Nothobranchius furzeri: one gene and its partners. The protein of the gene in region 1 purifies or fractionates together with the protein of each later gene. This does not show direct contact. Links are inferred from orthologs where the notes say so. Each region holds a gene or a part of one and is shown in the gene's direction. Other genes may lie near its edges.

Region 1 (7,360 bases):
AAGTGAAGTTGAGCTTTTGTTTTCCGTCTCTGACCGTTAGCTTACCGATTGCTAACTATGCTAAACACTGGGCTCTTTCCCCTAAATTTAGCAAATAAATAATATTTATATGGCACATTTCAAGATTAGAATTACGACGTGCTTTACAATTAAACAAACAAAATAACAATGTAGGCTATAAAAACGAAGTTTATTAAATAATGGTCACGATTGGGTGCCGATTTTTGATTTAGCGCTGTAGGTAACCGTTCATAAAATAGTCTACTGGTTAACTTTTACACCAAGTAAGAACTTTATGATTAAATTGTTCTCTCTGTATAGAAATGATTTTTCTTCTACTTCTTCTGTTGAGCCACAACGCAGTTTGTCATCTCATATTCGTTGTGTGTGTGTGTGTGTGAGAGAGAGAGAATCATACTGGTGGTTTATATGGTATAATTGGGGAAAAGTCTGGAGGAAAACAAATTTTGAGTTTATTCCTAACTTTCCTCATGGATTGAAAATTTGACAAAATTTGCCCAGGATATGAAAAGTAGATTAAACACCTTTTTGAATTTCCATAAACCTATGTGTTTTCTACAGAGACTGTAGGAGAGTTTTTTTTCTGATTAACATTTTTGACTACAGATTAATGTGATCATCAGTGCCATCTTGTGGTCTTGTTGTGCCACTGCTTTGTTTTCAGCTGCAGTTGATTAGTTTTCAACTAAAAGTTGCCCTGATTGGGGCAAAATCTAAATATTAGACAACTTTCTGACAAAATATTTAGTTATATTAACCAAAAAAATGAAAATATGTACCACAGATTTACTGACCTCAGTCCACAAGTCAGTGGAGTGCAGTCACATGTGCCTCGATTCCTGAACAAATTATGTATTTTTTTTTCCCTAAGGTCACATGAATTGCTGAACTGAGTAGAAGTCTTATCAACCGAGGACAGCTTTCAGCATGGCCCCTTCCCACCAGAGTGTAACTAATCTGTCCCTGCCCTGTAATTTTAGTTAGTTTCTCCTCTTTTACAGAATGAGTTCTGTCGACATAAATGATGAGAATTGTGGGGTCATCCCAGCAGGAAAGCACAACGATTCTAGTCTAGATGTATTTGCCCTGGAACAGCCAACCGGGAGGCAATCTATCCTGCGTCAGACGGAGAACCTTCCCAACAGGACTGTGCCAAAAGGGGCAAAGGTGCAAAACCTTTTAGTTCTGACAGATTCAGTCATTTATGTAACTTGATCTGTATTTACTAATTACAATGTTATGTTTAGGTTTGTTTTCAGACACCAAGAAGAGACCCGTTGACTAAAAGAATCCTGTCTCCCAGGAAATCTGTCAACATGTTAAGTGTGGATGAGAATAATAAAGCAACAGTGTCCTTGGATTTGGATAAGCCAGAGTAAATAAGTCATATACTTCCTACATGTTTTTAAGTTTCAATTGCTTGTGCTTTGAAATAACACCAGTTTTTTTTCAGTACTTTAACACAGGAGCAGATTGAGCCACCCCGTCAAGGTAACTCATCCCATATTATTTTTTTACAGCTTGATGTAAACAATCCAACTCAAACTCTTTTAACCCTTTTCACAGAGATGTCATCCTATCCCGACGACAACATGCCGATACAAAGCAAAGGCGGCTACCAGTTGGATTTTGACAATCTTGATGCCATCAATCCATTTCAGAGTTCTAACAAGATGGCCGTGACCCCTGGGAGGCCCGCTGTTGAGACTCTTACAGATGACCCCAAGCCTCAGCAGCACATGTCACCAGAGAATATTCAAAATAAGCCAACTGACATGACACCCGCTCTAGACGACACGCTTCCATTCACGCCATCTGTGGAAAATTCTTATGCAGATGTTTCCACCAACATGAGCTCCACAGACAGCAGTGTGGTCACGGTGACCGTGAAGGTCCCAGTAGAGGAAGGTCCATGCACAGACACGCCTGATGAAAAACAGCCTGCTAGTTTGTCCGATCAAGAGAAGACATCTGGCAGTTTTGTGGAAGATTCTCCACTTCCAGTAAAAGGAGCTTACAACATGGATTTTGACAACCTTGATGAAATTAATCCATTCCAGACTGGAGGCTCTAAAATTCCAAATTCACCTGATTTAGAGAGAAAAGTACCAAACAGTAATCCACCTACAGAAGAAAAGATATCTATGGGCGTGTTTGAAGTTCCTATGGTAGCCCAAGAGTCACCTGCCCAGGATGTGAAGTCCATTTCTACGGTGAACCCAACACCCGCTGATGCAGCCAAGCCTCCAGCAGCTGAGTCCGAGCCTGCGGACCCTCCAGTCAATGAGCACTCCGTCAAACTTGAGTTCTCTTTCGGAGACTGCAGCGAAGTCAAACGAAAGCCACCACCCAAAAGGTTCGGCAAAAGACCTTCTGTTGTAAAACCTAAAGACGAAAAGTCGACTTCTGATGTTAAAGCATCAGCAGAAGCTCCCATGAAGCCTGTGAGTGATGTCACTGATGATCCAGTTCCTAAAGGTTCCTACTCTCTGGACTTGGATGACCCGTACTTCAATCCTTTTGGCGCTAAAGCAAGAATCACGAATTCTCCAAAGGGCAGTGGCCAACCCGCAGTTGTGCTCAAGGAAGCAGACCTTCCCGAGCAAACTGACAAAAAGGAAGATGGGTCTTCCCAGAGGTGAGTAAAACTGAGTTTCTGTCTTTATTTTTCTTCACATTCCAGCATCAAAGTTTTGATCGTAAATGTTTTTGCTCCTTGCAGCTCTGGTGAGAGCTTACCAACAGCTGAGCCCAACCATGAAGATGTAAGCTATTATTCACAGGGTATCTGCGGGTCCTTAAAGTCTTAAATTTGCTTTTCAAAATTTAAGGCCTTAAAAATCCTTAAAAATGACAAATAATCCTTTAATACAGTTTCCAAAGGTCTTAAATTACCAAAGGCCCAATAAACAAGATTCTTTTATTTCGATAAAAATTTCGTGAATTTCTAGTTAGTGTTCAGCATTGTTGTGTATAATGTTCGCGAAGCGGAACCATACACATTCAGTTGGTTGTGAAAGGGAGCTAGTTTTAGATGGGCACATTAGCTGGTTAAGCTAGTGGGAGCTTGCGCCATGGGGACGTTTAATGGTAACTGGATGGCTAATCCCACGTTCGCGATGTGGTTGGCATCGGTTCCAGGCAATAGCTGGAAATTATAGCTTAAATTTAATTCTAAAAATAGCTTAAATTTGGTCAAAGTGGCCTTAAAAAAAGGTCTTAAAAAGTCTTAAATTTGGCTCCCTTAAACCTGCAGACACCCTGTATTCAGTTTAAGTTCCTATTTAGCTCGTGTTTTTCTCACACACAAAAATATCACCCTCCTAACCGTCAGATCGCTGATCACAAGGCTACCTCCGCTCATGACCAGGAAATTCCACTTGAGAGTGACGACCCCGTGCAGAACGCTCCTGAGCCGCCTCAGCCCGATCAGCAGCTACAGATGGACACCGAGTTCAGTGAGGAGTTTGTTCCTGGAACTATGTGTGAGTAAACCTGGAATTCACATCACTTTATTAGTTTGATCTGTGCTTGATTAGTTCGGTCTGATTTACATTACCAGTCGTGGCCGGTGGCTTTGACGGGCAGATCGACTACCTTGAGCAGTTTGGGTCCAGCAGTGTAAGTGCTAACGACGCGTACGGTAACCGGATATTTTGATAGTTAGTTCATGACCTAAAGGTATTTAAATGTTTTCTTTTCAATCTACAGTTTAAGGAGTCTGCCCTTCGAAAGCAATCTTTGTACCTAAAATTTGATCCCCTCCTGAGGGAGAGCCCCAAAAAGTCTGCAGGCCCGTCCGCTCAGACGCACGTCGCTGTTCCCGCGGCCTTGGCCTCACAGTAATAACACACTTCTGTTTTCATTCACTCTGACTGCTGCTGTCCCTGAATGCTTCAGCAGATCCTTTTTGTTTGAAATATTAAAAAAAACATCACTTAAGGTTTTGTTTTCTTCAGGCTTCAGATTCCTCAGGTTACAGAGAAAGAAACAACTAAAGCTCCAATAAAGGACAGCCTCAAGCTGTTTGAGGACGCAACAGCTCCAGTGAGTCTCTATTCCCGATCAGGATTCGCTGTAACTCCTGGCGGGTTGTTTGACCATGACCATCTGTGTTTCTAGGCTCCGATCTTTGGAAGCATCATCCCTCCTTTCCCTCAGCCTGGGAACTCCGAAGACGTTATTATTGAAATGCTAAAATACAGTCAGAAGGACATGGATGCCGCTATCGCCAAAGTGCAGGCAGAGGTGCGTTCTTCACAGTTTGATCTTCTTGTCCACTAGTTTAAGTAGAGCTTCATTTTGGGACAGAATTGTTTAAAACATTTCTAAAGCTAGGTGGTTGGTCCTCATTCACCACTCACTTGTGCATCTTCTCAAACAGGGAAGAGAGAAAGAGGAACAGTGGAGTTGTAAATGTAAAAAGCTGCAGGATGACGGTCAGGAAATGAGGCGAGTGGATTAGATTTTAATTTTCTGTTTTTGTTTTAGATGATATTCATTGTTTGTTTTTTCACCCACTCAGGAAAATACTAGCTGAATATGAGCTTGTGATTGCAAAAATGATGGGTGAGTTAACGCCACCTGCTCTAAACATCCAGATTTATGACTCAGCGGTGGTTGGAAGTACTCGTTTTTGTTTCTTTTGGCATAAAATAGCCGATCAAGAGAAGGAGAAAGAGCTGGCCGAGGCAAAGCTGAAGGAGACGTTGCTGGAGAAGGAGCAGGTGTCAAACGATCTGAACTCCATGGAGAAATACTGTGCTGAGCTTTTTAAAAGACTGGAGAAATACAAGGATGTTGTGGAGGGGTACAAAAAGGTCAGTTTAGTGGAGGACAAAACGCTCCTGATGGACTTCTCAATATCTAAAGTATTTTAATGATTTCAGAAAAGCTAAAGGGATTAAAATGTCTTTTAACCAGAATGAAGAGACTCTAAAAGCCTGTGCCCAGGACTACTTGGCAAGAATCAACAAGGAAGAGCAGCGATACCAGGCCCTGAAAGCTCACGCTGAGGAGAAAATTACCAAGTAGGACAAGAAAAACTGTAAATTAATTTAGTTTTTACTCATGTGAAGGCTTTGTACTCGAGGCGAATAATTGTATTTCTCACCTCCAGGGCGAACACAGAAATAGCAGAGGTACGGTTTAATTACAAAGCTGAGCTGTCGGTGCTTCAAGCTAAGCTGCGCCGGGAACAACTGAAGCTTCAGTCTGTGGAGAGGAGCCTGGAGCAGAAGGTGAGTGGACATTTTTAAATAAGTCATCAAATGTGCTACTGTGTGCAGGTATTTATTTTTTTCTTGTGTTTTAGGAAAAAGAGGCTGAAGAGCTCACCAAACTGTGTGATGAGCTGATATCGAAAGTCCAGAGGGGCTGATTTTATTGCTTGTGTCCAGATCATCTTTTTGTGTAATGTTTGTCATTGTTTCTTTAACACTGTAAAAAAAAATAAAGATAGTTTTAAAAGTTTTTGCTTTATTTTCATGTCATCAACCACTAGGGGGCAGTGTTTGGTTTTATGGGGATTGATCTGTGTTGAGATGGGATTAATACCGCTGTGATTCTTTAACATGTGTTTCTGTGTTGCTTATTCGATATTCAGACACGACAGGCTTCTGTCTGGAGCCGGAGCTCTTCTTCGTGCTTACAGTGAAACGAGCTCATCTGACACAAAGCCCCTCTTCTTTTCTGAGCAATCACAGGGTCCTGTCACATCGCTCCCAGAGTGGGACAATGTGCTTCCTAAATGGTGAAAGGAAATCCTGCCTAGATTGGAGCTGAATGAAACGACGGTAGAGAGGGATTGGGGGGGACGATTCTCTTAACTGGGGAAAAGATGCTGGTCATTTGGTGTAGACTGGCTGGGGACATCAGTCATCTAAAAAGCAACAGTGAGACTGTTCTTGTGTCTGTTCGGTATCTATTCAGGCTTTTGTCCCGGCCACTTGTGTCCCTCTGCTGGTTGCCCTCTGTGTCACCCTCAGACACTCCAACCTGCTCGGAGAGAAGAAAGCGCTCCTGTGTGGAGGTGGTGGGGGGTGTAGGCCTTTTGTTTCAGGATGGCTCACCTCTCGAATCATCTTCTGTCTGCACTCAGAAACACATGAGCCAAACACAATGTCCAACTGTTGATCCTATCAATCTTATTTCAGGTCATTTAATCAAACTTCTTTTTAAACAAAATACAAGATTGTCAAATTACATAACGAAACATGAAGTAAATGCAAACAAACTGGTGGACAAAAGAAAAATTACAGAAATTTTAAATGCCTGAAAAATAAACCTTTTGATACTTTTTTTATGAAAATAAATTAAATATTCTGACTACAACTTCATTAATGGTCAAAAAGACTGCTTTCTGCTGGTTTGCCTCGAGACGGTAAAAACTAGTGATGAGAACTGATCTGAAGAAGAAAAAAAAACAATCCTTCCATCCCTTGCAGTCTTTGGCAAGGTTTGCACGCCATGAACAAGTTACAAGTCTATTTTATATCACCTGTAAAAAGGAACATACGTGTGGGATGGAAAAATAACATAGTGGTCAGCATTACCAGAAAAATGCTTTAAACATGAGGAAAACCTGAGTAGGAGCATAAAAACAGCCCTTTGATCGACCTCTAGTACCGTTTTTTATTTATTTGATCTCGTCCTCTCCGCTCTGATCCGTTTGAACTCACATCCTGAACGAATAAACCGTAACAAGTGCATGAAAAGGATGAATGGGTTTTAGTGGTGTGAACTTTCAACAAGTTTTCTTGTTTTTAAAAAAAAAAGCACCAAACATGGAAGTTTTTATGAAAAAAGACACTGGCCACTGTCCGTTGCACGCACACACACACACACACACACATTTTCCCCGCAACAGTTTCTGGAGATCGGTTCCACATGAACGTCCCTCAGAATCAACGTCCATCCGAGACGCTAACACTGAAAATGAATGTGTTGATGCTGGTGTACTTTCCCATCCACGTGTGAGTGTGTGTGTGTGTGTATGTCCGTGTAGATTTTGGGGTATATTTTAGGCGGGGCTGATGGTCCTCCCTTGCTAAGGAGGAGCTGCTGCTGGGCCAGGTACTCCTCATAGTTCATGGAGCTCATGCAGTCTTTCTCCGGGCTGGAGGAGCCGGTCGACGCCGCAGCGAGGGCCCTGTCCCGCTCTCGGAGCCGGTGGGAGCTTTGTGCAGCCGGGGCGCTGGGAGGTGGGCAATGCTTTCTGTTCTGGCAGAACCACAGCAGCACGGTGGCGAAGATGAAGACGATTCCAGCGGGAACGCCGATGATGACCGGCCAGGGCAGGGAGCTGGAGGTCGCTGGGAACATGGAGGTGATGGGGGGC
Region 2 (8,391 bases), on another chromosome or scaffold:
TTGACACTAAACCACTGGGCTGCATGGTGGCGCAGTGGTTAGCACTGTTGCCTCGCAGCACGAAGGTTGCAGGTTCGAAACTCGGCTCGGCTTTTCTGCGTGGAGTTGCGTGTTCTCCCCATGCATGCGTGGGTTTCCTCCGGGTACTCCGGTTTCCCCACAGATCACAACACGCCCTATAGTTATAAGTTGTAAGTCGCTTTGGTAAAAAGCGTCTGCTAAATAAATAAACATAAATAAATAAACACTGAAGCCACTTATGGGTCAGGTGCCTTCTATTACATGATCTGGGTATGACTTCAGGTTGAGATGTCGGATTATTTGTGTAACTGATGTGATCAATAAGGTCAGATTTGTTTGAGTCTATATATTATTTAGTTTGCATGAGTTCTAGGTTACCAAAAAATGTATTTTTCTCCCTGTTTTGGCAGCTAAGTGCCAACTTCAGGCACATACGTGTCTTTGAGATGGATGTAGAAGATGAGGACGACGAGGGAGTTGACTCTCTGAATGTCAGCGCTCAGGATGGGCTGGCAACTACCATCACCAGCCAAGGACCGGTAGAGGAGTCTGAAGGTGAAGCGAGAGAGCAGGAAGGAGAAGCAGTACAAAATACTGAAGAGCAACTTGAGTCGGAGGAGGCCCTGTAACTCCCGTGATACCAAAACTAAAAAGCTGCCTGAATAAAGGACTCAACTTTATCTTCTTATGTTGTTGGAGCAGTCTGAACTATACAGCTGTAATAATTATTAATAAAAGTTTATTTTAGCGATGATTATGGTATTGATTGTATCTCTTAAAGAACTAGGTTTTATGTAAAACTAGCCTAATTTAGACAACCTTAGCCCTAGATGCTGTAAACGTGTGGGTCGGTGGAAGAGTGTTTATCTGCATATTGGAAGTGGATTGATGCTGGTCTCCCTGTACATCATGATGTGTTCTTGGTCAACACTGAAACCATGAAGCTCGGGTGTGAGTGTGAATTTAACTAGCAGTAAAAGTGCCTTGAAAGGTTTAATGACTAGAAAAGCCCTTTATAAATCAAATTAATCAATCAAAGGTACTTTATTAATCTCAGAGGGATTGTCTATAAAATGTCAATCTGATATTGAGAGTTCCTCAAGGATGTGTATTCGGCAGAGGTGTGGACTCGAGTCACATGATTTGGACTCAAGTCATTATTTTAATGACTTCTGACTTGACTTGATAAAATCTATAAAGACTTATGACTTGACTCGGACTTGAACACCAATGACTTGCAACTTGAATCGACTTATCTGTTGACTTGATGATGACTTGAGCATATTTGATATTTTAGCAGTAAAGTGCCACGACATGGACAAAAGTCTGGGTTTGATCTTGTACGGCTAACGGCAGCAGCTCTTTGTTAATAATCAGTTTCAGTTGCACTTTCTGCTTGTTTGAGCAAGTAAATTACGCTTTAAGAAGCTTTATTCTGGAATGTATTTATTATTGTCATTAAATTGAAGTTGGACAGATGACTTGGATTTGACTTGAACTTCCACATCATTGACTTTGAACTCGACTTGGACTTGACTGGAAAGACTTGTGACTTGCAAAGCAGTGTCTTGGTCACACCTCTAGACTCAGTCCTTTTTACTTTAGTGCGGTGACAGACTACTGCCTATGTCTATTCACTTCCACTGATTAAGTTATCTGAAGATACAACAGTGGTAGAACCAAGGCTGGATTATAATACGGGCAAACTGGGCACAGGCCCAGGGGGCCACAGCCACAAGGGGGCCCAGTCTTTTTTTTATTTTTTATGCAGCAGTTTTAACGTTGGAGAAAAAAGTTGACAAGTTATTAAACTTGCGCCCACATTTTCTAAGTTAAAACACATTTCTTTTAACAACAGTAGTTTTTGCATCTTTACTGCCTGCTTCAGCCCTCTCCCCCCTCCCCCTGCTTCAGCCCCCCTCCCCCTGCGCAGTGGCTGCAAACTCACTGATGCGCCTGCAGCCTCTCGGAGTTCCTGCTGCTCTAAACATTAAAATAATTATTTCATTTTCTGTTCCTCACTTCTGATGACCTTCAATGGTGTCTGTTTGTTGCAACCAGCAGGTACAAAAACTAACTTGTTTTTATTTGACTATTTTTCTGTCCTGTCTGTTTATTATCTTCCTGCAAGAAAAACTGCTACCTGGGTTCATATATATTCACCTTATGAGTTACCTTTGAACTGCAGTTCTAAAAGATCTACCGACCGCAAATATAGCGGACTGCGCGCCGGCCGCATCAGTGCAGAGAAGTCTCCGGAGGATGAAACGGGTGATGCGCTCGCTCCGCAGCAGCGAAGCGTATCAGACACAAATAAAAGACAGAAAGCATGAAAGGATATGAGCTGACACGAACAATCGCGTGTTACGTTTGTTTTTGAGGTGGCGACAATTTGATAATGTTACTGTGGCCGTGCTCAGGACACATCTGGAGCGCATCAACGATCAGAGCTCTGCGCCTCTCAGCTCTAAATAATCCCCAGAGAGTCCACATAAGTAATTTAATATAAGCAGTACCAGGATCGTTTTCGGGCTAAAAAAAAATAGTCTACAGTCCATCTTCCCTAATGTGTTTGTGGCCCTGTGGATTTTTCTAACTCTACCAGTTACAAATTGTAAAGGAGAACGATCATTTTCACTAATGGCAAGAATAAAAAATGAACTGAGAACAACACAAACTCAACAGCACCTCACTGTCACTGATGGCTATTGAATCTCAGCTTGTCAGGAATCTGGACTTTGATGACATTGTAAATGAATTTACTAATAGAAAGGCCAGAAAGCAGTTTTTTCTGAAGGCAAGAGGAGACCAACAAGAGGAGACAGGAGTCAAGAGGAGGAAGGAGACAGGAGATGAGAGGAGGGAAGAAACAGGAGGCAAGAGGAGGAAACAGGAGACAAGAGGAGGAAAGAGACAGGAGACAAGAGGAGGAAGGAAACAGGAGACAAGAGGAGGAAGGAGACAGGAGACGAGGAGGAAAGAGACAGGAGTCAAGAGGAGGAAGGAGACAGGAGATGAGAGGAGGGAAGAAACAGGAGGCAAGAGGAGGAAACAGGAGACAAAAGGAGGAAAGAGACAGGAGACAAGAGGAGGAAGGAAACAGGAGACAAGAGGAGGAAGGAGACAGGAGACGAGGAGGAAGGAAACAGGAGACAAACAAAAAACATGCAGATATTTCATCTTTGCAAACTTTTCAATAACTGTACAATCTTTTAAATAATCCTGCATTATTTTCTGTTGTAGTGTGACAGTGGGATCTGTTTTACAGCAGACTCACTCGCCCCCACTGTCCCACAGATTGACAACATTTTTGTTATTACAGACAGAAGAGAAGACAGGAACGCTGTGAGGAAGAGAGAGACAGAAAAAGAGGAGAAAAGAGAGGACAGAGGAAGAAAGACATATGAGTGAGGTACAACAGGAACATCATCAGGTATGAGTGTTTGTGATTAGGTTATAAAACTATTTTGACCTGGAGGTAAATGCTTTTGTATCAACAAGAGTAAGCGATTTTTAATATTGACAATGTTATGACATGTCTAAAAAGTGCTAATGGGTGACAGTAATGTTGGGGGAGGCCCGGTGGGGGCGGGGCGGGGTCCTAAGCACATTGTGCCCAGGGGACCCTGCAATGATAATCCGGCCCTGGGTAGAACTCAGTGAAGATAAAACATGCTGGAACAGTTATGTGTGCTGTGATGAGGACGGCAATGTTACCAAAACAAGCTGCATCACAAATCTGGTAAGGTAATTTGTCAGTGAAAGTGACAAAGACCTGTTAGACTGGCTTAAATGAGTATCATTGGAACTAAAATATATATATTTGAGAAAAAAGTCTGCTCATAAGCGACTTGGCCCCGTTCCACCTCGAAGGTAAATGCAAAACTTCAAGACTGTACGGCTGCTCCAAGACACTACCTTTGATCGGGACGAGAACCCCCTTATTTCATTTTATTATATATTTCTAATAAATACAAAGACAAACTTTTGAATGTATGAATATTTAAACTTGAAGGTTTCCTCTTGTTTAAATCGCACATTTATGTGTAATTACATTGTTTCTCTGGAGGAATGTGGTGTCTACCGTCTGTTTTCAGTGACCCTCCAACCCAGCTCACGTGATTGTAGGTGCGCGAGCAAATAGGTGTTGGTTACGTGCTCGCTCTCGATATTGAACGCAGTGACGTAGTTGTCCGCCGCCTGTTGGTCTTTCACAGTTGGTGACGAGTAGCGAATACGAAAATGGCCTCGACCCTTCCCGTAGACTCTAATATCCAGAGAAGATGACGGCGATAAGCTCGTTAAGTCGTTTAAACTCTAAACTGTCTTCTTGGAACACGTAGGAAAAGGAAAAGGAAGGGGCAAAAAGAGAGCCCCGGCCAAGAAAACGCTCCAAAGCACCGAATATTTCCGTCAGGCTGAGGATTCACCATGGAGGATATCAACTCTAATATCAACGCGGACTTGGAGGTGCGGAAGCTCCAGGACTTGGTGAAAAAACTCGAGCAGCAAAACGAACAGCTTCGGAGTCGGTCCACGTCGTTGCCTTCGTCCGGTGGACTGTCCGGGAACCACAGACCTCACAGCGCCGGCTACGACTCGTCCCTGTCAGCCAGTCTGGCCGGCTTCCCTGGGGTGGGGTTCGGCGGAACGGGCGGCTACGGGGGTCTGCTGGAGAACAGCCGCTGTTCGAGACCCAGGCTGTCTTATGACGGCATCAGCTTCATGAGGGCGTATGACTGCGAGGGGGCTTCTGCTGCCACCGCGGTGTCGATCATGAACTCACTTTACCCAGACAACGCCGGGGAGTTGACGGCTGAAGGGGAAACCTCTATCCTGGATGAAGTGGACATCTTAGATCTTGAAGACATGGATTGTCTGAACGAAGACGAGGACAGCTGGTGAGTGATGGGCTTGTTCTGGGAGGAAACTTGCCTGTTAGTGTCTCCAGGGCCAGATGTCAGCTGCTCCACACATTACCTCCACAGCACACGCCTGGCATAAGCAGTCGTCCCACCTTTGTTTTTAATCTGAAGTCATCCCACAGAAGGAGTCCCGTTAGGGACAACTAAAGTGTGTTTTTTGGCACTTAGCATGGGCGAGGCCATCCAAAGACTGGTTTTTCACCAACCATTGTCCCACCAGTCTGCATTTTTCTAGTCCACTTGCTGTTAATGATCAGCTGTTGGGAGTCAGGACCCGGAGGTGTTGTGATGTGGCAGACAGCTCAGCTTTCCTTGGGAGGGGTGGCAAGAAACCGGGCTTGTTTTCCTGCCCAGCAGCCATGTGGGAGAGTAGTCATGGTTTTCATTCCTCTGAATTCCCTTTAGCCCAGCAGTTGGCACACAGCTACAAGTGTTCTGCAGCACCGAGAGGGAAATGGTACTGAAGCAGGACGGTCATTAGGCTGGAATAGAAGCTCTGGCTGTGACATTAGGATCACTGCAAGCATTGGATTTGCAGAACAAATTGCCTTTATTTAAAGAAAGTGGGTCACATCAGGGTATGTTTTGGACTAAGATTCACCAACATGTTCAGCTTGTTATCACAAATAATCCCACTTTTCCATTCTTGAATTTCTCCCAGTGCATTGTGTTTATGTCAACTGGATTTCAAAATAACGATCCTTTTAAAAAAGCTTGTTTTTTCCAGGAGTGCTCATTTAAATAGTTTCTTCTGTGGTCAAGATCCTTAATGGCTATTCAATGCCCAGCCTTTGATGGAACGTATTCAAGTCAGTAATGCACCATAAGTTGTAAATATACTACAAAGTCCCTTTATTAATTATAACTAATTGGGTTTTTAATCAGTTCCCAGCTCCTGCGATCCTTGCAGCAGTGCGCCTGTGCCAGCTGCTTCTCTCCATGTCGGGATACTTTCAGATATTGCCCACTCATGCTTGGCAGAGGCCGTTTCATTTGGCCCAAGCTGTTTACTCTGCCTTTTGCATCAGATATGTGGGATTACCTCGTAGTGCCTTGATGTCGCCAGCTTCTGTCACAGACTCCCATAATCCCATGAATTAGCGAGGCTGGATTTAAAATGCACCCTGGCGCTCGTCGGTGGATGTTTGAGAGCCTTTTAACTTGTGACTGACTGTTAATGTGTTGGAAAACAAAGAAAATGTGTTCTCATGATGTCAGACTTGTATTTCCCTGCACGAGCTTTGCTTTCCCCGCAGCGTCTCCGCTTTCATCATGAAAGGCTTCCTCCTCGGCTTCCTCGGTGCTGACCAATGCTGACTCAGATTTCTCCTCTCAGTAGAAAGTCATCGTGTCTCCTCTCAGAAGCATCACCAAATATTTGCTTTACTTCTGTAACACACGGCATCAGTCCGTCCTGACGGCTCGTAGCCCTGCTTTGCTCTTTTTTGACCCCTTCGTCACTCAGTGGGTTTGGCACTTGAACTAACCGGACCTGACTAAGCATTAAAGTCAGTATTGACGTTTCTCCACTTGTACTCATTTTTTTCATTAATGTTTATTTTTTTAAATGCCGGCCTCTAGGTTTAAAATACGACTACCCTCTAGTTCTGTATGCTTTATTAAAACCAGTCTCAACCTGTCAGGGTTAGTTGGCATTAAAATAAATAAAATCAGTTGATTTTGATTATTTTAATTCTATTTTTTTACTGGAAGCGATTCTATTTAATGTGTCTTTAAAATTTGGTGAACATTTTTATTGTGTGAACTGGTGCCTTGAAAATGAACCAAACAGAACCAAAAACTGTGATCTGCTTCAAGTAATTGTTCGATTTCTTGCAGGTTATATGAAGCGAAACTCAACAGTCCCTTGCAAAAAGCCTTGAGTCCCATCGTATGGTGCCGCCAAACTCTGGACCATCCCAGTCCTGAGATCGAATCAGCCAAGCGCTCTCTCATCCACAGACTGGACCTCACCCTGTCAGGTAAACAGAGTTATCAATGTTTAATTAGCAGCATCATTAGCAGGAGTTGGTAGCATTTTAATAAGCTTGGGAGGCATTCATGTAGCAGAATTAGATCATTTAAATGGATACAGTTGGCCTTTTTATCTTCTACTTTCTCTGGGATTCTTGGTGCTTGAAGGCTTTTCAAAAGCATCACACGTCACTGGTAAAAAACATAAATGATGTGTTTTAAAAGCTGAGCTACATTTCTCACAGCTACCAGTAGGGTTTCTAATTTTATTCTTTACTTTAAGCATATTATTAGGGTGAAGACGAGTATTGGCAGTTCTCATAGCAGTGTGTGTGTTGATGCTTGCACTTATGGTGGTGCTAGCTTAAGTTTGTTGTATGTAAATAAACCTGGAAGGGTGTTTGTTGATTGGGAAGAGGCAGAGATTTTTGTGTCGGTTTACATAAAGCATTTCCTGGTTGTAAAAATGTAATAACGATAATTAAATACAAATAAAACTTTCAAATCTTCAACTCACGTTAAAATCACTACGCATCAGAGCTCCACGACGTTAGGAAAGCACGCAGCTGATATTTTAAACTACTACTACCCACTTGCTCTTTCAGAGAAACAATGGAATAAAACTTATTTTGGTCAAATTTAAGAAATGAGTTCACTCTACTTTGTAATATTTCTGTCCTCGCTCAGAGTCTGCTGCTAATACTGCACATTCTAGTTAAATATATCTATGTTATAGCCACTTTTGTGCTTGCTAGTGTCAACTCGCTGTAATGGCTGTCCTGAATCAGGTTTTCTCCTAAAGTAAATCAGTTGTAGATGTGCATCCAATAAAGACTGAGTCTGATTCAAATCTGTTCAATGGTTCATGGTATATTTAGCTAACACAGCAGAAATGGGCTGTTTAAAAGCACAGGAGTAAATTAAAGAAATGTCTTCTCATGTATGGTTTGCTTTCTCTGATGAAGAAGGGAAACAGAACTGTCTGATTCGCCTGGTGAATCATTACATGGCAAACACTGTAGTCCTGTGAGAACTTGGCAGATCAATGTCTGACAGATTGTCATGTGAAGTTACTGAAAAGCACCAGAGTTAGTTTAGCGTTCCCCAAATGCCCGTGAGATTAGCTGGTGTGTCTTAAATGATATTTATAGACTATTCAAACTGGAAAACTCAGAGCCTTTTATGTTGTCTGCTGTATCAAATCAATTCACTGGAATACCCCCAACACACACACACACACACACACACACACACACACACACACACACACACACACACGCACACACACACGCACGCGCATGCATGCATATCATTTATCTACCTGGCCTTCCCTGCTGTTTGGCTGAGCAGTCTCTACTTTGAGGTTTTGACTCCCACTAATTATAGTCGGTCCGTCCTCGCAGCTAAACTGAGATGGGCCGGTTCCATTTGGACTGGTATGTCCGTGTGACTGCTGGATCGTGTTGAGCAG
Region 3 (7,663 bases), on another chromosome or scaffold:
TTCCAAATTTAAGGCCTTGAAAATCCTTAAAAATGACAAATAATTCTTAAATACAGTTTCCAAAGGTCTTAAATAACCAAAGACCCAATAAACTAAATTATTTTATTTCTATGAAATTTTTGTGAATTTCTAGTTAGTGATGAGCATTTTTGTGTATGATGTTGGTGTAAGCGGAACCGTACACATTCAGTTGGTTGTGAGAGGGGGCTATTTTTAGATGAGCACATTAGCTGGTTAAGCTAGTGGGAGCTTGCGCCATGGGCAAGTGCAAGTTTAATGGTATATGGATGGCTAATCATACGTTCGCGACGTGGTTAACACCTGTTCCAGGCAATAGCTGGAAATTATAGCAGAAATTTCAAAAATTAGCTTAAATTTGGTCAAAGTGGTCTTAAAAAAGGTCTTAAAAAGTCTTAAATTTGGCTCCCTTAAACCTGCAGATACCCTGGTTTAAGTCTTCCTGAAGTGTTGCTGCTCTGAGTTTCAGCACGTTGGTGTGGACTCTCCTTCATCCTGAGATTTCACTGAAAACAGCTGGACTTCTCTGGTTATCTACAAGATGTTTCACTTCTCATCCAATAGGCTCCTTCAGCTCTAAACCTTGGAGGCTAAGAAACAAACACAGACTGTGTTGAAAGTCTCATTTAAAAAGTAAAAAAACCTCTTTTTGTCTAAATGAATCCCGGCCTTTTTAGGTGATGTTTTTCTTCCTTTATTCCCAGATCATGTCCGTAGCGCTCATTATAACTACATAGAAATGTCCATCCATGTTTTTGCCATCGGAGATCAGCAGCAACAAACCTGACCTGAGTGTCCCTGATGAGCTTATTTAATTTTCTCTTCTAGCTGAGTAACGTTTGGGGAAGCCCAGCCCCCGACCAGACGCCATGGGGGACGATAGTGAGTGGATGAAGCTTCCTGTCGACCAGAAATGTGAACATAAGGTGACCAAAGTCAAGTTTCCTTTAGAGTCCCAAATCAGAGATTAATAGTGATGTCCAGCAGCTCTGGGTGTCCTGGTTAACCAGGCCAGCTGTAATAAACAGATCTGAACCCAAAGCTGTTACACATTTGACATGAAGCAGGAACACTGGACCGAAACTGGATTCAGCTGCTCTGCTCTTTGTCAGATTAGCTTCCCTCAGATGTGCTTACTGTGTTTGTTTAGATCCCTACGTGGTTTTACATTCAGGATTAACCTAATCCAGTCTCGGAGAACCCCGTAATCCCAGCATTCATGTCTGAATGCTGTAACGCCATCCTAGCTTTAAGCTAATCAACATTAGCAAAGATAAATGACAGAAACTGATTATAATTTAGTTGTTGGCTGTTGGGGTCGAACTTGTCTGATGGGTGGAGGAATTTAAATGTTTCACAGCCTTTATGATGATTGTTGCACTAGAGCTGCCTTCTCTCCACTCAGCCAGGGAGCTAGAGGAAGTTCAGTCCAGAGACCTCATCTGCTCCTCTGTCACTAGAAGAGCTGGGAAAACCATCCCTTAGCCTCAGATCTGTTTTATTTAAAGGAGGATGTCTCCATGAGTGTCAGACGTCTCTGTTCCTCACCGCTGTCTCCCACAGGTGTGGAAAGCCCGACTGAACGGTTATGAAGAAGCTCTGAAGTTGTTCCAGAGGATACAAGACGAGAAGAGTCCAGAATGGGGGAAGTATCTGGGCCTGATAAAGAAGTTTGTCACCGACTCCAACGCTGTGGCTCAGCTCAAAGGCCTGGAAGCTGCTCTGGCCTTCGTAGACAACGCACATGTGGCTGGCAAGTAAGTGGTGACGACATGTCCTGCACCCCTCGGTGGTGCAGCTGCAGACAGCTTTATCTGATGACCTCTGATGGTTTTCATCACTTATAAAGTAGAGGCCTGTGCTAATCTGACGTTGTCTCTGCTGCAGGACGACGGGCGAGGTGGTGTCGGGTGTTGTGACCAAAGTGTTCAACCAGCCCAAGGCCCGAGCCAAAGAGCTGGGAATGGACATCTGCCTCACGTACATCGAGATCGAGAAGGCTGAGGTCGTCCAGGACGAGCTGCTGAAGGGGCTGGACAACAAGAACCCAAAGATAGTGGTGTCCTGCATCGAGACGCTCCGCAAGGCTCTGAGGTCGGTACTGGCTCTGGTTCTGACCTGGTAACGGGTCAGCTTACCTGTGAAGTTACAGCTTCAGTGTCTACATCTGTCCTCTTCTCACAGTGAGTTTGGGTCAAAGATAGTGCTGCTGAAGCCAGTGGTGAAGGTTTTACCCAAACAGTTTGAGTCCAGAGAGAAGGCTGTGAGAGATGAAGCCAAGCTGCTGGCTGTGGAGATCTACAGGTGGATCCGAGATGCTCTGAGACCTTCGCTGCAGAACATCAACTCTGTTCAGGTACGTCATCAAACGGAGCCTCAGCTTCACTGTCGGTAACTTAAACAGGTAAAATGATGTCTGCTCTATTCCTGCAGCTGAAGGAGCTGGAGGAGGAGTGGGTGAAGCTACCTCCAGCCCCCCCAAAGCAGACCAGGTTCCTACGCTCCCAGCAGGACCTCAAAGCAAAGTTTGAGCAACAACAAGCACAAGGAGAGCCATCTGATGGTGGGTGAGACTGGGTGGGATCAGCTGTTTGGTAACACTCTACTAACTCTGTTCTTCCTCCAGGAGAGGATGAGGAGGATACGGCTGCAGCTGTGGATGCTTATGAGCTCCTGGAACCGGTGGAGATTCTGTCCAAGGTCCCTAAAGACTTCTATGAGAAGATCGTAAGTTTGTGTTTTCATAAATCAGCCATGGGGATTGTTTAAATCTGATGCTTCACAGCAATAGATGGTCACAACGGGCTTCAGGGGATCTTTACCTTCCAGTGAGTTGGTGCCAACCAGGTGGCTTGGTGCCCAACATCTTCTACCAACATGTCCTGTGTCAGGGCAATGGGGATAGCCGCTCATTATTCTCTCCTCCTCTCTCTGCAGGAAGCAAAGAAGTGGCAGGAGAGGAAAGAAGCTCTGGAGGCTGTGGAGGTTCTAGCTAAGAACCCTAAACTGGAGAACGGAGACTATGGAGACCTTGTTCGAGCCTTGAAGAAGGTAAAGTCTCCAGCCCTGAGGAGGTAGAACCTGCAGCCCGGGGCTTTGCTTTGCTGTATTCATGAGGTTTTATCAGCATTGGCTCATCTCTGAGCTCCACCGCTGGGTTAGGTGGTTCAGTTGTCCTAGATGGTGTCGGATGATGGGATGCTGTGACTTTGTCCTGGTTCAGGTTGTGGGGAAAGATGCTAACGTGATGCTGGTGTCCTTGGCGGCTAAATGTCTGGCTGGATTGGCTACTGGGCTCAGGAAGAAGTTTGGAACGTATGCAGGACAGGTGAGTGGGTCACAGCTCTGAAGTTACTCAAACATGAAACCTGAATGGAGATGGTAGCGGACCACAGCAGTTCTCACAGAACCTTCTCCTTAGGTGGTTCCAACCATTCTGGAGAAGTTCAAGGAGAAAAAGCTTCAGGTAGTCCAGGCCCTGCAGGAGGCCATCGACGCCATCTTCCTCACGGTAAAACGGCTCATTTATTATCATTTAGTTAACTTTGGATGGTTCTAAAGTCAGAACTGTGGAAATGAAGTCATTGCTACATCAGAATCGGCCTAACTGGGGCGTGGCTAGGGTTGGGCATTGTTTGATTTTGAACGATTCAGATTCCAATTCCCATTCCTCATTTCGATTCCGGTTCCTATCGATTCCCGATTCCGATTCTTTCAAGACATGACATATTTTACATGAGCCAGCTAACCACAGGTCCTACTTGATGAAACAATCTTAACTTAAACATGAATTTTAATTTTATGAACAACAACATCACCTTCATTTAAACAAAAACACGTTTTGGAGAAAAAAAGAAAAAGACTTGCAGCACTACCAGTGTGTTTGTTTCTGACCACAACCAAAGTCTGGAAGCAGCCTCTGGGATTTTTTTGATTAAAAAAAATAAAAAGCAATTATCTGACATCTTCTATTTATTGATGAAAACAAATCCATATGAAATAATCGTGATGCATCGGGATATCGAATTGAATCGTTGACCCAATAATCATAATCGAATCGGGAGACAAGTGAAGATTCACACCTCTAACGTGGATCCAAGGGATAAACCATCAACCCTGCTCAATGGTCAATTTTCTTCATGGGGTCACACCCATTAGGACAGTGGGAAGGTTAAATCTTAGAGTAAAAGTTTTTCTCTCAAATTTTCATTTGTTAAAACTGGATAAAATTTTTACTTTAAGAAAACATAAGGATAAACTTGTCGGAACCTCTGGTGTATTAGAATCTGGACATAAACTGTGATTTTTCTGCCCATTCTGAGCTGCTGGTGTGATGATCTTTGAGGTTGGGCCGGGTTTTGCGTTGTGTACCGGGGGTTAGTTAGAATCAGACATGCGTGATATTCTGGTCATCCCTCATGAAGCTATCGCGCTGTTGAAGCAGCACCACAACTAAGATGTCCCAGAACCGCTCACTCGGCGCATGCGCCAAGACGTCTGTACGTGTCCTCACCTTTCACTGCACACTAGGGCTGCAACAAATGATTATTTGGATAATCGATTAATCGGATGGGGTCTCGACACGATTAATCGATTAATCGGATTACATAGGGACATTTTTAAAAACTGCTAGGGAAACGTTATTTTTCTCCTTCCTTCACTTTATTAAACACAACATTATTAGAAAACAGTTCAATAGCAGAAAAACAACATGCCATCACCTAAATTGTCTTATAAGGCGTATAGACAGAGACCCTAAGCTACAACTATCTGTGACCTAAAATGCTTGGTCCAAATTAAACAGCTTAAAGAGCAAGTCAACCCCTACCAGAGTCTAACTCCACTCCCGCTTCATGTTTGAAAAATGCAACACATGCTGTTGCCTGGCAGACCGAGAGGGCGGAGCCGCTAACAAATACACACACACTCAGGCTCACGACAGCATTGTGACATCATAATGTACCAGTTTACATCATAGCATACTTCTTAGCCAATAGCGGTGGCAGATTTAAATTAAAATACAGTGCAGAGTTTTTACCTGACAACGGCACAACAATGCCAGTTTTAGGCAGAATATTTAAATTTTAACTAAGATGCACTGAAGTGCCAAATTATTGATGACACGTGTCTGCAGCACGATTAGACACTCGTTTATTTAGTTTATCAGCAAAAAAAAGTTTATTTGGGGGTGACTTGCTTATAAGGGCAATTCTCTGTTTTGTTTGATCTCATCTGTAGACATTTATTATAATTGGGGGTGTCAAACAACTAATTTTTAAATGTAATTAAACATAGGCTGTGAATTAATCAAAATTAATCACTATTTCCAAAAATGACTGAAAAATACCAAATAAAACAAAAGTAAATGAATGCCATCCTCCTTGCCATGATGCCCTGGGCAACTGCCATAAAGTCACATCAAGAAATGCTGCTGATCATTCCAATGATCCCAAATAGACTCACATTAGGCCACATGAAAGCAACTGAACCCAAAAATATATTAACCAGTATATAACTGCACTCTCACACAACACGCCTGCAGCAACAGTTAGGACTCCTCCCTCCCTTTTAAAAGCGTTTTCGCTTCTGAGGACATTGTGGTTGTAAAGCCACATGCTAGTAGTCTGGCCCTGGTGTGATCAACCAGTTTCTGCGGGAATGTGACGGCGGAACCGGTTCGCAGCGGCGCGAGTCCCCCCCCCCCCCCCCCGACTATCAAATGGCGTCACGCTTACAATTTTATAGACTTTTTTTACGAGCTTAGGGCATATCTAGCCTGTGTAATAATCTGGGGCTTGGGTGAATCACTTTGTAAAAGTTTTTAACTTACCCGGACACCGAGCTCTCTCCTTCCTCGCTGATGATTCTGACATGCTTGCGTTTAAGACTCTGCATCATCTCCGTAGTATCCCTGTGCCATGCTAAGTCTGACCTACAAACGTTGCATGTCTTCGCCTGATTTAACTGAAAATGCTCCCAAACTTTAGAAGTTTTTACTTTTTTGGGGTCTCGCTGCTTCTGCCATGTTCCTCTTACAAACACCTGCCGGCTCTCCACCGGTCTGCGCGCAACGGCGGGCGGGAGGGGAGGGGACTTTTGGAAGAGTTGCGCAACACAACGAATCGATGACTCAATTCGTTGCCAACGCTTTTAGTAATCGATTTTCATCGAATTCATCGATTCGTTGTTGCAGCCCTACTGCACACCAGGACGGTCCAGAAATCGTGCTTGTTGTGTTTTATATAGAATAAAAACCCCAACCCCCATAAACTCCTGCATGTTCTCATACAACTATGGCAAGCCCGAAGGACATCAGACGACTTTACCAGCACAACAGTCTCCTCTGTTCTGGTGTCCGGATTCAAAGGTCCGACGCCTTCCTGTTACCTTTGAGAGCCTTGAGATGATGACACACACGCACGCACGCACACACCTCCTGCTTTAGCTTTGATGTGGTTTATTTGTGGAAGGACTTAGTTGGACTTTTTAACGACTCGGGCACCAAGCAGGACCGGGTCGTTTTCTGGACTCTTTGTTTACGTTGAATATGTAAAAGCTCATCCTGTGTAATCTGATTACTGACCCTGATGTGTTCCTTATGGAATCCTAAAAGGTCTTTTCCCTTCATATCTTTTGTTTCCCAGACAACGCTCCAGAACCTGTCGGAGGACGTCTTGGCTGTGATGGACAATAAAAACCCGTCCATCAAACAGCAGGCCTCTTTATTTTTGGCTCGGTCTTTCCGACTCTGCACCCCAGCCACGCTGCCCAAGAGCGTCCTCAAGCCGTTGTGTGCTGCTCTCATTAAGGTACCGGAGATCTAGAGCGAGGGCCAAACCCTGGAAAGAAATTTAAAAATTCCTGCTTCCTGTTTGAAAAATGCAACAAATGCTGTTGCCCACCAGACAGAGAGGGCGGAGCCGCTAACAAATACACACACACACACAGGCTCACAACGACATTGTGACATCATATGGTGCCAGCTAACGTTCTAGGGTACCTCTTAGCCAATAGCGATGGCATATTTAAATTCAACTGCAGTGCAGAGTTTTTACCTGACAACGGCAAAACACTGTTTTAGGCAGAAAATTATAATTTGAACAAAAATGCACTAAAGTGCAAAACTATTCACTGCACGTGTTTGCAGCATGATTAAACACACATTTATATAGTTTATCAGAAAAAAAAGTTTATTTGGGGGTGAGTTGCTCTTTAATGTCCATCATTTCTACTTTAACCCCCCAGCAAGTGAACGACTCTGCCTCGGAGGTTCGGGATGCTGCTTTTGAAGCTCTGGGAACAGCCATGAAGGTGGTGGGGGAGAAAGCCGTGAACCCGTTCCTTTCGGACCTGGATAAACTCAAACTGGATAAGGTGAGCTCTGCCGAGGAAAAGCTCAGCGCTGTGTCCTGCCTTCGGCTGCTAACCAAGGCTACTTGTTTTCCTACAGATTAAAGAGTGTGCTGATAAAGTCGAGCTGCCTGGAGGGAGGAAAGGAGCTTCTGGAGGAGCAGCAGTGGAGAGGAAACCTGCAGCTAAAGCTCCGCCTCCTGCTGCTGAAGCTCCAAAATCTGCTGCTCCACCTAAGAAAACCCAAACTTCTGCCGCCTGCAAGGTTCGGACAAACTGAGCGCTGGTGGTTCTT
Region 4 (8,280 bases), on another chromosome or scaffold:
AAGGAGAATAAAAATAAGAAAAATGAATAAACAAGAAAACATAAATCCTGAATAGATTTTAAAAATGCTGAATATACCACAAGTAATGAATACCACTGATGCCTTTTATTTAAAACTGACTTGCTCGTGTGTCATTTGGTTATTCCACATTCAGTGTTAACGCAGAAATAAGTTTGTTTCCAAATTTAAAGGTTCAAAATTGCATTTATGTTGATAAAGAAAATGTGCAAATTTGCTGTCACTTTTTCAAAAATGATTAAGTTTGGCCCTCGACTCCGTCCCAGAGTTTCATTTCGGCCCCGTGTGAGTTTGAGTTTGACACCCCTGCAGTAAACCGAATGCTTCCTGAAACATCAGCGTTCCCAGGTCCTTTAACAGTTCTAGTGTCGCCAGAAGAACTGATGTTGTTGTAGAAAAGAAGGGCGGTCACACCAAATATTCGTTTGATTCAGGTGTCTCGTTTGTTCGTTTAATGTTGATTGATGAACATTTAGTATTTTTGAAGGCTTACGTTTTTCACAGCATTTTTTAACACCTGCCTAAAACCAGGGTATCCGCGGGCGCTTAAAAAGTCTTAAATTTGCTTTTACAAATTTAAGGTCTTGAAAATCCTTAAAAATGACAAATAATCCTTAAATCCAGTTTCCAAAGGTCTTAAATGACCAAAGACCCAATAAACAAGATTATTTTATTTCTATAAAAATTTTTGTGAATTTCTAGTTAGCGTTCAGCATTTTTTGTGTACGATGTTGGCGTAAGCGGAACCGTACACATTCAGCTGGTTGTGAAAGGGGGCTGTTTTTAGATGAGCACATTAGCTGGTTAAGCTAGTGGGAGCTTGCGCCATGGGGAAGTGCAAGTTTAATGGTGACTGGATGGCTAATCCCACGTTCACGACGTGGTTAGCACCGGTTCCAGGCAATAGCTGGAAATTATAGCTTAAATTTAATTTTATAAATTGCTTAAATTTGGTCAAAGTGGCCTTTAAAAAGGTCTTAAAATGTCTTAAATTTGGCTCCCTTAAACCTGCAGAAACCCTGTAAAACATTTTCACAGCAACCCATCTCATGTGTAACATGACCAGTACAGATGCCTTCATCAGGCCCTGTCATATGTAGGTACTTTCTCTCACATGTGCCCGTGAGAACGTTGGATAGCGGTCCTGCAGGACCAGGCCTGGGCGCCCTTAGGGTGTGCACAGAGCCGTCTCATTACTGCACGCTGTCTGGGGCCTTTTTAGGCTTTAGAAGAGATTTGAGCGTTATTTATGGCAATAGGCAACCCACCGACAGGCCATCTGTAGCTCCTGCTTCCACCAAGTATTGCTCCTGAAAAATAACTAGACGGGAGGAATAACAGAAGACAGACTCAAACACAATTAATGTGTTCATTTATTCACTCGGTAGGGGATTCAGCACATACACTATTATGCTCATGATGACACGCATCTTGTAATAATTAATGTAAGTGTGTGGAGGTTTCCATGGAAACGGTTTAAAGCCTAATTTAGACTTCTCTGTCTGCGTCGGGACGGATGCATGCGACGCCATTATTCGCCCTTTTGAGGGCTCTCTAGCACGCTCGCAAGTACGGACACAGTCAAGCTCTCTTTTCCAAACATCCGTCCAAAGAGACGGAGAACGCAAGCTTGTGATTGGTCAGGACGCCGCTGTCATCGACGGCATCGCCATTCCACCCTCAAAAATATAAAGAGAGCCGAGGATATCTAGCGGCAGACACGGAGAAGCTTGAAGACAACTCTAAAAAAATGAACGTTTTATTCACCGGAGAAGTGAAAGAATACGCAGCAAGCGTCTTATTCATGGAAGCAAATAACGGGAAACGTGGGTTCAGAGGTGGCGAGCACACAAATGGGCCATTCCCATCTGTACCGGGTCGGCCCGGGCCGGGTAGCCCCAGTCGGCCCCAGCCTGGCCCGGTTGATTCCACACATCCTTGTCTTAAGCCCATGTGGGCTGATTCTACCCACCAATCAGAGGCCTGCTCTAATGGAAGGTGTGAATTTGCTGTCAGCAGTGGGTGTGTTGGCGCTGGTCGGCCTGAAGCAGACCCCCTCGAGAAGAGGGCTGAGAATGAGCCTTGGTTGGCCCGGAAAAATACCAGGCCACCCAGATATGTAAACAACCTACGCTACCCGGCCCGGGCCGACCCGGTACAGATGGGAATGGCCCAGAAGAGGTGGAGGAGAGTGAGGGACAAATTTGTCCGTGTTAAAACCCATAATATAAACACGATAGTAGATGCACCATCTTGGACCTAGGGCTGCTCGATTAAGGCAAAAACAATAATCACGATTATTGTGAATGAAAGTGAGATCACGATTATTTAGGACGATTTTTCAATTTATGTTGATTTTTATTTGTTTTTATTCAGTCATAAAATTGCTCAGGGCACAATCAGGACAAAAAGAAATAAGAAACAAGATGATCACTAAAAGAACTCCTGATTCCCAGTATAAAAAGACCAGTATACTTACAGCTCATAGTCTATGACCCAAGGGCTACAGACCTTGGTTTAACTCATTTAAGTCTAACCAGTACAGACCCAAATACCAATATCTTGCAAATACTGACAGCAAGAATTATACAGTGGCATTCATAACAAATACATGCAAATAAACTGATGTTCACTAAATGTTGCATAACATTTATTGAGTCGTGTCAAGGTGCTGTAGGAGAGTGCACTAGCACCGTGTCCTCAGAGAGATTAGTTATTAGTTATCAGCGTGAGGAACTTATTTCTACCTTATTTATAAACTATTTATTTACAAGTCGTCCATCAGTTAATGTAATAATTGTCCCAACCACAGCTGCACCCCCCAACCCGGTCTCACAGCAATCGGGGGCAAGCTGCACGTGTTTAGCACGCCGCACATTTAGCCTTTTTTAGCGGCTCAGGAGTCCGCAGGTGCGGTGTGTGTGTCACTCACTCTGGTTACTCCAACATGGAGCCGGCTCTGAGAGCTGTCTTTAGCGACGGACACATCACTACATCATTCCCTTTCCTAATGTCCTGAAGAACGGTCCAGAGCGCAGGCGGAGTGTTTAGCTAACCTGCAGGAAATGTCGACGACAGTTATCCAGAAAGTAGCTAAGGGTTACCAGAGATGTTTCTGAGGTGTTCGCTAGGTACTTTTAAGATTTAAAAAGTCAAGAAGGGGGTCTGAGAAGCTGCTAGAAATAGCGTCAAAGTCGCTAAGTTGGCAACACTGTGGGAGGAGCGCTTCATTTGCAACTCAGGGCAGCGCAAGTGGGAGGAGCAAATAATCTGCTTGTTTTGTTTTTTATAATCGTTCAAAAATCCGATCGTAATCGTGATTAAAATTCGATTACTTGAGCAGCCCTACTTGGACCAGATACATGACAGGATATGCCGGAACAGCGCTACGCCCTCTGTTGTCCTGACGGGGAATTGCTTTGCAACACTCCCCAGGAGACGAAGTCCGAGAGAAAAACGTCTCTGTCCGTGCGTGTCTCTCCCTCGTGGAGCTTCAGGAGATGGCTGGGACAGATCAGCACCATCACACAGACACCATCCTCAGGTCCGGTGGGGTCTGCAGTGTGTATCTGACACAGTCCCTCCTCTCAGGACATGAGACCGTCAGAAACATCGAACACTGCCATGCTTTTCATCCCGGTTTATTCTAGAGAGCGATAGAGGAGGACAGAATGGAGCTGGGCGAGTGGAGGCAGTCCGTCATGTGGGGAAGCACACAGATTAAAGCTGCGAGAGGAGGAAGGGGAGGAGGCAGAAGTGGATGTGAGGGTTCTGTCGCAGCAGGCGGAGGTATCAGAGGAACCAGCGTGCTCCCGCTGAGGTTCTGCAGCATCTCTGTGTTTTTGGGCTGAGCGGTCCAGCTGTGGCCATTGTCACGTAGAGCCTGTTGCCTGGAGACCTCCGCTGTTGCTACGGCAAGGAGAAGCTAACAACACAGCTCTCTGATGACATCTCAACACGTCCACCGGCTGTCCAACCTGCTGGCACATGGAAAATAACGGGATTCTCCTGGATCAACGTGTCGACAGGAGGCTGGGAGTGTGTGGGGGGTTTTACCAACGCCCTCACCCAGACAACGAAGAAAGGCAATCTCTAGAGAAGGAGAGGGGGCAGAAGATGTTTTTGACAACTGATGGGATAATAACAAGCAGAGCCATGCAGGTCCAGTCCTCCGGTCCACAGTCTAAAGCCTCCAACATCATTCTCAGCCAAAGATGTGTTCTGGCTTCCAAAATGGAAATTCACCGGTACGTACCTACCGTCACCATGCGGTTCAGTTCAACACCCGGTCCTGCCTTCATCCTTTCAGGGACCTTTAAGCCTCCTGGGTTTTTGCTTCTGATGAGGTTCTGTATTCTGGTGAAATCTCAGTGTTCCTGACAGGATTTCTGTTCGCAGATTTACATTCTGTCACCCCCCCCCCCCCCCCCCCATGAAACGAGAGAGCATGTTGGTTCTGTTAGATCAAAGGGATGCTTCTTTTCTTTACCTGTCTCAGCTTCTGCTAATCTTCAAATACCAGAAGGTCCACCACGGGGCAGGAGACTCTGACAGATGGTCGCAGTTGTTTGTGAAGTTTCGGTGATCCCAGTCCACTCGGCTCCCTCCAGCTGCGACAGTAGTGTAAACAGGCAGGTGTTCGATTCTTCACGCTGTTTACTGGAACGTCAGAAAAGTGGCTCCTGCTATAGAAGAGCAGCACATGTAGCAGGAACCTGGGGAACCAGCAGGTCTACACAACGTCCCCCTCGATAAAAACTAAGAGTAAAGGATTTATTGATTAGATACTTGCTCACTTAAAGCTGTAATGGCAAATCTGCAAACAAGCTAGGTTTTGAACACGGTCACTGACCACTCACCCGTCCCCACGAGTATTTTCCCTAGGACACTTTTGGCGAAACTGGACATTGTCAGAGGAAACAATATTGCGTTAATTACCAGTCGCTGTCTTTTTTTTTTCATTCATTCATTCATTTATTTCCATCATAACAAATACATATAAAACACATGAAAAGGAAAATAATTATCTAATAAAGAACATAATAATAATTATCACAGGTACAAATTCCTCTTATAAATTAAACAGTTTCTTTAGATATTATTTATGAGCGAAAAGGTATAGGCTGAAGTTAAACTTATTAAAGCCTACCCATTAATTCATTACAAAAAAAAATCAACATTGTCATAAATATCAAAAGTAAATAAACATATAAACATATAAACAGTTGACTAAACATCTTTAGTTGTCCGTCCGTGACTTCAAATGGTGATTTTCTTTTTGGGACTCTGGTAGTTTGTCCTAAAGGTGAAGTTAGTGATGCACCGATATGAAATTTTGGGGGCGATACCAATATCTGATATTAATCTCACTGTTAAGGCCGATAACCAATATTTGCCGATACCGATATGCTGACATTAATGTTTCTAAAATGAGCAGATTTTGTATAGAATGAAAATTATTCAAGCTGAATTTACGTTATTAAGTACACACACCACACACATTTACATTCACTGTCACATGACTATACAAATACACATCACCCCTCTCACCCTCTGAAACAGGCAAACAAATGGAGACGAGATGGAAAAAGTATCGGTGTTAGTATTGACCCGGTTTTATTTATCGAACCGATACGTAAAAAAATGACTAACATCGGCCGATACCGATAATGATGCCGATATATTGTCCACGCCTAATACTGGGCATTCAACAAGCCGGGAAGGACACAGCTCCATGATTTGCTGCCTTCAAACAGGCTAATTTCACTTCGGCTTTCCCTTCGGACATCAACAAAGCAAATCGCTGTTCTCCATTAATTCCCAGTTTGCCTCCAACAGTCCCAGTTCACAGTGAAGTCACAAAACTGCAGAGCCAGCCCACAGAGTAGAATTAAACAATTAAACATAGAGAAAGTGCCAACAGACTACAAAACCATAAGTAGTAGTGTTTCTAATCACGGAAACATGCACAGGGAGCCTAAGTCACGCCCATCTATTTCCAGACCACGGGTCCCTGGAAGAACGAAAAAATGAAGGCAAGTCAACGGGGCTAAAAACGCTATTTTCTAATTCCGCTTCTTACGTGCCATGGATTTCACACACGATGTCCGTGAATTTTAAAGAAGCTTTTTGATCGTTATTTTTCGCACGGGGGAAGCGCTAGCTTAGGTTTTGTTTGAAAACAAGTCCAGGACTACAAATGCGCGTCGCGAAAGTGACGTCATCGAACCAGACATGGAGAAAAATGTGGAAAATGGCTGTAAGTTCATCAAACTTCAAATCCTTCCTTCCGGGGGAAAGAGCCACCATAAATCTGGTCACGTGGTAAGTAGCAGCTACGCTAGGGGGGAGGAGACTCTGTGGTGACGTGCCGATGTCTGATTTGTAGTCATGCTGATTACGGACTTTTACAAGCTAATAAATCTCTAAGCACATGACAAGCGCGGTCGAAACACCCATCGTTAATTTAAATTTAAATTGCAGTACAACATATGTGTGACCCAGGGCGTGAAGCAAAGCGGATTAGAAAAGCGCTCTTTTAGCCCCGTTGACTTGCCGACCGGAAAGGGAGGAGACTTATGCCGGGAACACACCAGATGCAACGTGCGGCGAAGTGAAATTTGTGCGCCGTCCACTCCTCCTCTGTTCACATCAGGCAAGAATTTTCAACGAGCGCTTCTGCTCACACCTACTGTTTTACAGACCCCACCCTCATGCCCTTGCCGTGCGTTTGTGTGTGTGTGTGTGTGTGTGTGTGTGTGTGTGCGTTTGTGTGTGTGTGTGTGTGTAACCAGTTAGCCCCGGTTGTTGACATCAGAAACTGCGCTGATCCTGCTGCTGTTTTGTAGACCAGTTTCGTTCTAAATGGTTAAGTAAAGAACTCGTGTCTGTGGTACAATCCAGCTTTTACAAACTGCGTTTAAATTTATGAAAACACTTTGTTTCTCCGCAGGAGTGTGTGTGTGTTTGTGTTTGTTCATTTTCATCTCTCTATTTATCAGTCACGGTGTTTTATTTTGAAAATTTTGTTTTATTTAGTAAAATTTACCAGCCTGCCTCATCTGATTTGGTTCGACTTCCTGCCGGTATTGACGCGACTAACTCACGGCTAACAACAATGGTGACCTACACGTTAAACTATTTTTTACAAATTTTATAAAAATGAAGACATTAAGAAGGTTTTTTACACTACTTTAATATAACTAACGTTTATCTTTGAAGAACCAGAGTTTTGTAACCTGGGTTCCTTTTAAAACCACAACAAGAAGCTCTAAAAGCACACTACAGCTAAAAAACTACGGTCTGCATTTGCGTCTATTTTTGAGCCGCCTAGTCCCGCCCCTCATGTGCCTCTCTGTCTGTCACTAACGAGACTAGTTCTCTGTGTATAATTAAACAGAGGATGAGTCTGGCAGGCCAGGCTACCAATTAGAAGAAGAAGAAGAAAATATCATTTCTGTAGCGCCTCTCAAGATAAAAATCACGAGGCGCTTCACAAAAACAAAAAATGTAAAAATATAAAAAAGAATTTAGAAAATGTTTAAAAATATATTTAAAATGAGCAAAAAATAGACAACTGTTATTAAAAAAATGTTAAGAAAGAGAGAGAGTGAATAGGAAAGAGGGAAATCAGTGGAAATTTGGCAAATGAAAGGCCAATAGATGCCAGAACCCAAAGCAGGGAAGACGTTGTCTTGTTGTTGGATACAACTGGACCTACAGGAGATCTGGGTAGTTTTCAGTTTGAAAGCCACCCCTACAAGAGATTGAGAGTTATCCAAACAGAAGTCAACAGGCCATCTTTTAACACAGGAATAAGAGTTGTTGTACCTTTTGTTGCTGAAGTGTCGGCCACCACTGCGGTGTTCCTCAGAGCTCACCGCTGTTGGCAGCATCACTTCCTTCTCCGTTTATCTGTGGGCAGCAGAGGGCGACTGACTGGTGCCCTTCAGAAGAAACGTGGAATGCCGTTGCCATGGCAACTCTGTCTCCTGTCCCAGCCTGGGCGGGACTTCTGGCTGTGAAGGCCGAAGGAGTCACTGCACTGAGGTGACATGTGCTGCTTATCGTGGCTGCAGGAACTGAAGTGGGGATAGTCCCAACCCCACCACCCCACCTAGTGGACACTTATGTTGGGTTGTCTGAAGTCTGTTGCATATCTGTCCTGAGGTGTTTCTGTGCAGAGCAAAGCTGCCCTCCCTATGGAGGGTAACTCTGAAGTGCCTTTTTTCCCTCCACCTGAACCAATCCTCATGTTACCCT

The links.
Region 2: the proteins of tacc3 (region 1) and slain2 purify together in Homo sapiens (co-immunoprecipitation; 3 studies listed by BioGRID and IntAct, counting the BioPlex papers as one, with this or other methods). This does not show direct contact. The link is inferred for Nothobranchius furzeri from reciprocal best matches to the Homo sapiens genes TACC3 and SLAIN2.
Region 3: the proteins of tacc3 (region 1) and ckap5 purify together in Homo sapiens (co-immunoprecipitation; 5 studies listed by BioGRID and IntAct, with this or other methods). This does not show direct contact. The link is inferred for Nothobranchius furzeri from reciprocal best matches to the Homo sapiens genes TACC3 and CKAP5.
Region 4: the proteins of tacc3 (region 1) and enah purify together in Homo sapiens (co-immunoprecipitation; 3 studies listed by BioGRID and IntAct, with this or other methods). This does not show direct contact. The link is inferred for Nothobranchius furzeri from reciprocal best matches to the Homo sapiens genes TACC3 and ENAH.

The regions. Positions count from the first base shown.
Region 1 is NC_091758.1:31,359,026-31,366,385, forward strand, and holds the end of tacc3 (transforming acidic coiled-coil-containing protein 3), read left to right. Parts: intron 1-1,022; 5' UTR 1,023-1,023; coding exon 1,024-1,188; intron 1,189-1,268; coding exon 1,269-1,396; intron 1,397-1,474; coding exon 1,475-1,512; intron 1,513-1,587; coding exon 1,588-2,659; intron 2,660-2,743; coding exon 2,744-2,786; intron 2,787-3,355; coding exon 3,356-3,506; intron 3,507-3,583; coding exon 3,584-3,642; intron 3,643-3,732; coding exon 3,733-3,863; intron 3,864-3,980; coding exon 3,981-4,068; intron 4,069-4,143; coding exon 4,144-4,269; intron 4,270-4,405; coding exon 4,406-4,473; intron 4,474-4,546; coding exon 4,547-4,590; intron 4,591-4,680; coding exon 4,681-4,841; intron 4,842-4,944; coding exon 4,945-5,051; intron 5,052-5,140; coding exon 5,141-5,261; intron 5,262-5,335; coding exon 5,336-5,401; 3' UTR 5,402-5,493; downstream 5,494-7,360. Other genes in the region: fibroblast growth factor receptor-like 1, read right to left, coding at 6,946-7,360. UniProt on the Homo sapiens protein: Plays a role in the microtubule-dependent coupling of the nucleus and the centrosome. Involved in the processes that regulate centrosome-mediated interkinetic nuclear migration (INM) of neural progenitors.
Region 2 is NC_091748.1:39,296,069-39,304,459, forward strand, and holds the start of slain2 (SLAIN motif-containing protein 2), read left to right. Parts: upstream 1-4,247; 5' UTR 4,248-4,452; coding exon 4,453-4,922; intron 4,923-6,785; coding exon 6,786-6,928; intron 6,929-8,391. Other genes in the region: anapc4 (anaphase-promoting complex subunit 4), read left to right, coding at 432-650.
Region 3 is NC_091744.1:80,639,564-80,647,226, forward strand, and holds part of ckap5 (cytoskeleton-associated protein 5), read left to right. Parts: intron 1-846; 5' UTR 847-887; coding exon 888-944; intron 945-1,581; coding exon 1,582-1,775; intron 1,776-1,905; coding exon 1,906-2,112; intron 2,113-2,202; coding exon 2,203-2,374; intron 2,375-2,451; coding exon 2,452-2,581; intron 2,582-2,644; coding exon 2,645-2,745; intron 2,746-2,955; coding exon 2,956-3,069; intron 3,070-3,241; coding exon 3,242-3,346; intron 3,347-3,439; coding exon 3,440-3,529; intron 3,530-6,662; coding exon 6,663-6,827; intron 6,828-7,263; coding exon 7,264-7,392; intron 7,393-7,468; coding exon 7,469-7,633; intron 7,634-7,663. UniProt on the Homo sapiens protein: Binds to the plus end of microtubules and regulates microtubule dynamics and microtubule organization. Acts as a processive microtubule polymerase. Promotes cytoplasmic microtubule nucleation and elongation. Plays a major role in organizing spindle poles.
Region 4 is NC_091742.1:28,114,885-28,123,164, reverse strand, and holds the start of enah (protein enabled homolog), read left to right. Parts: upstream 1-4,005; coding exon 4,006-4,265; intron 4,266-8,280. UniProt on the Homo sapiens protein: Ena/VASP proteins are actin-associated proteins involved in a range of processes dependent on cytoskeleton remodeling and cell polarity such as axon guidance and lamellipodial and filopodial dynamics in migrating cells.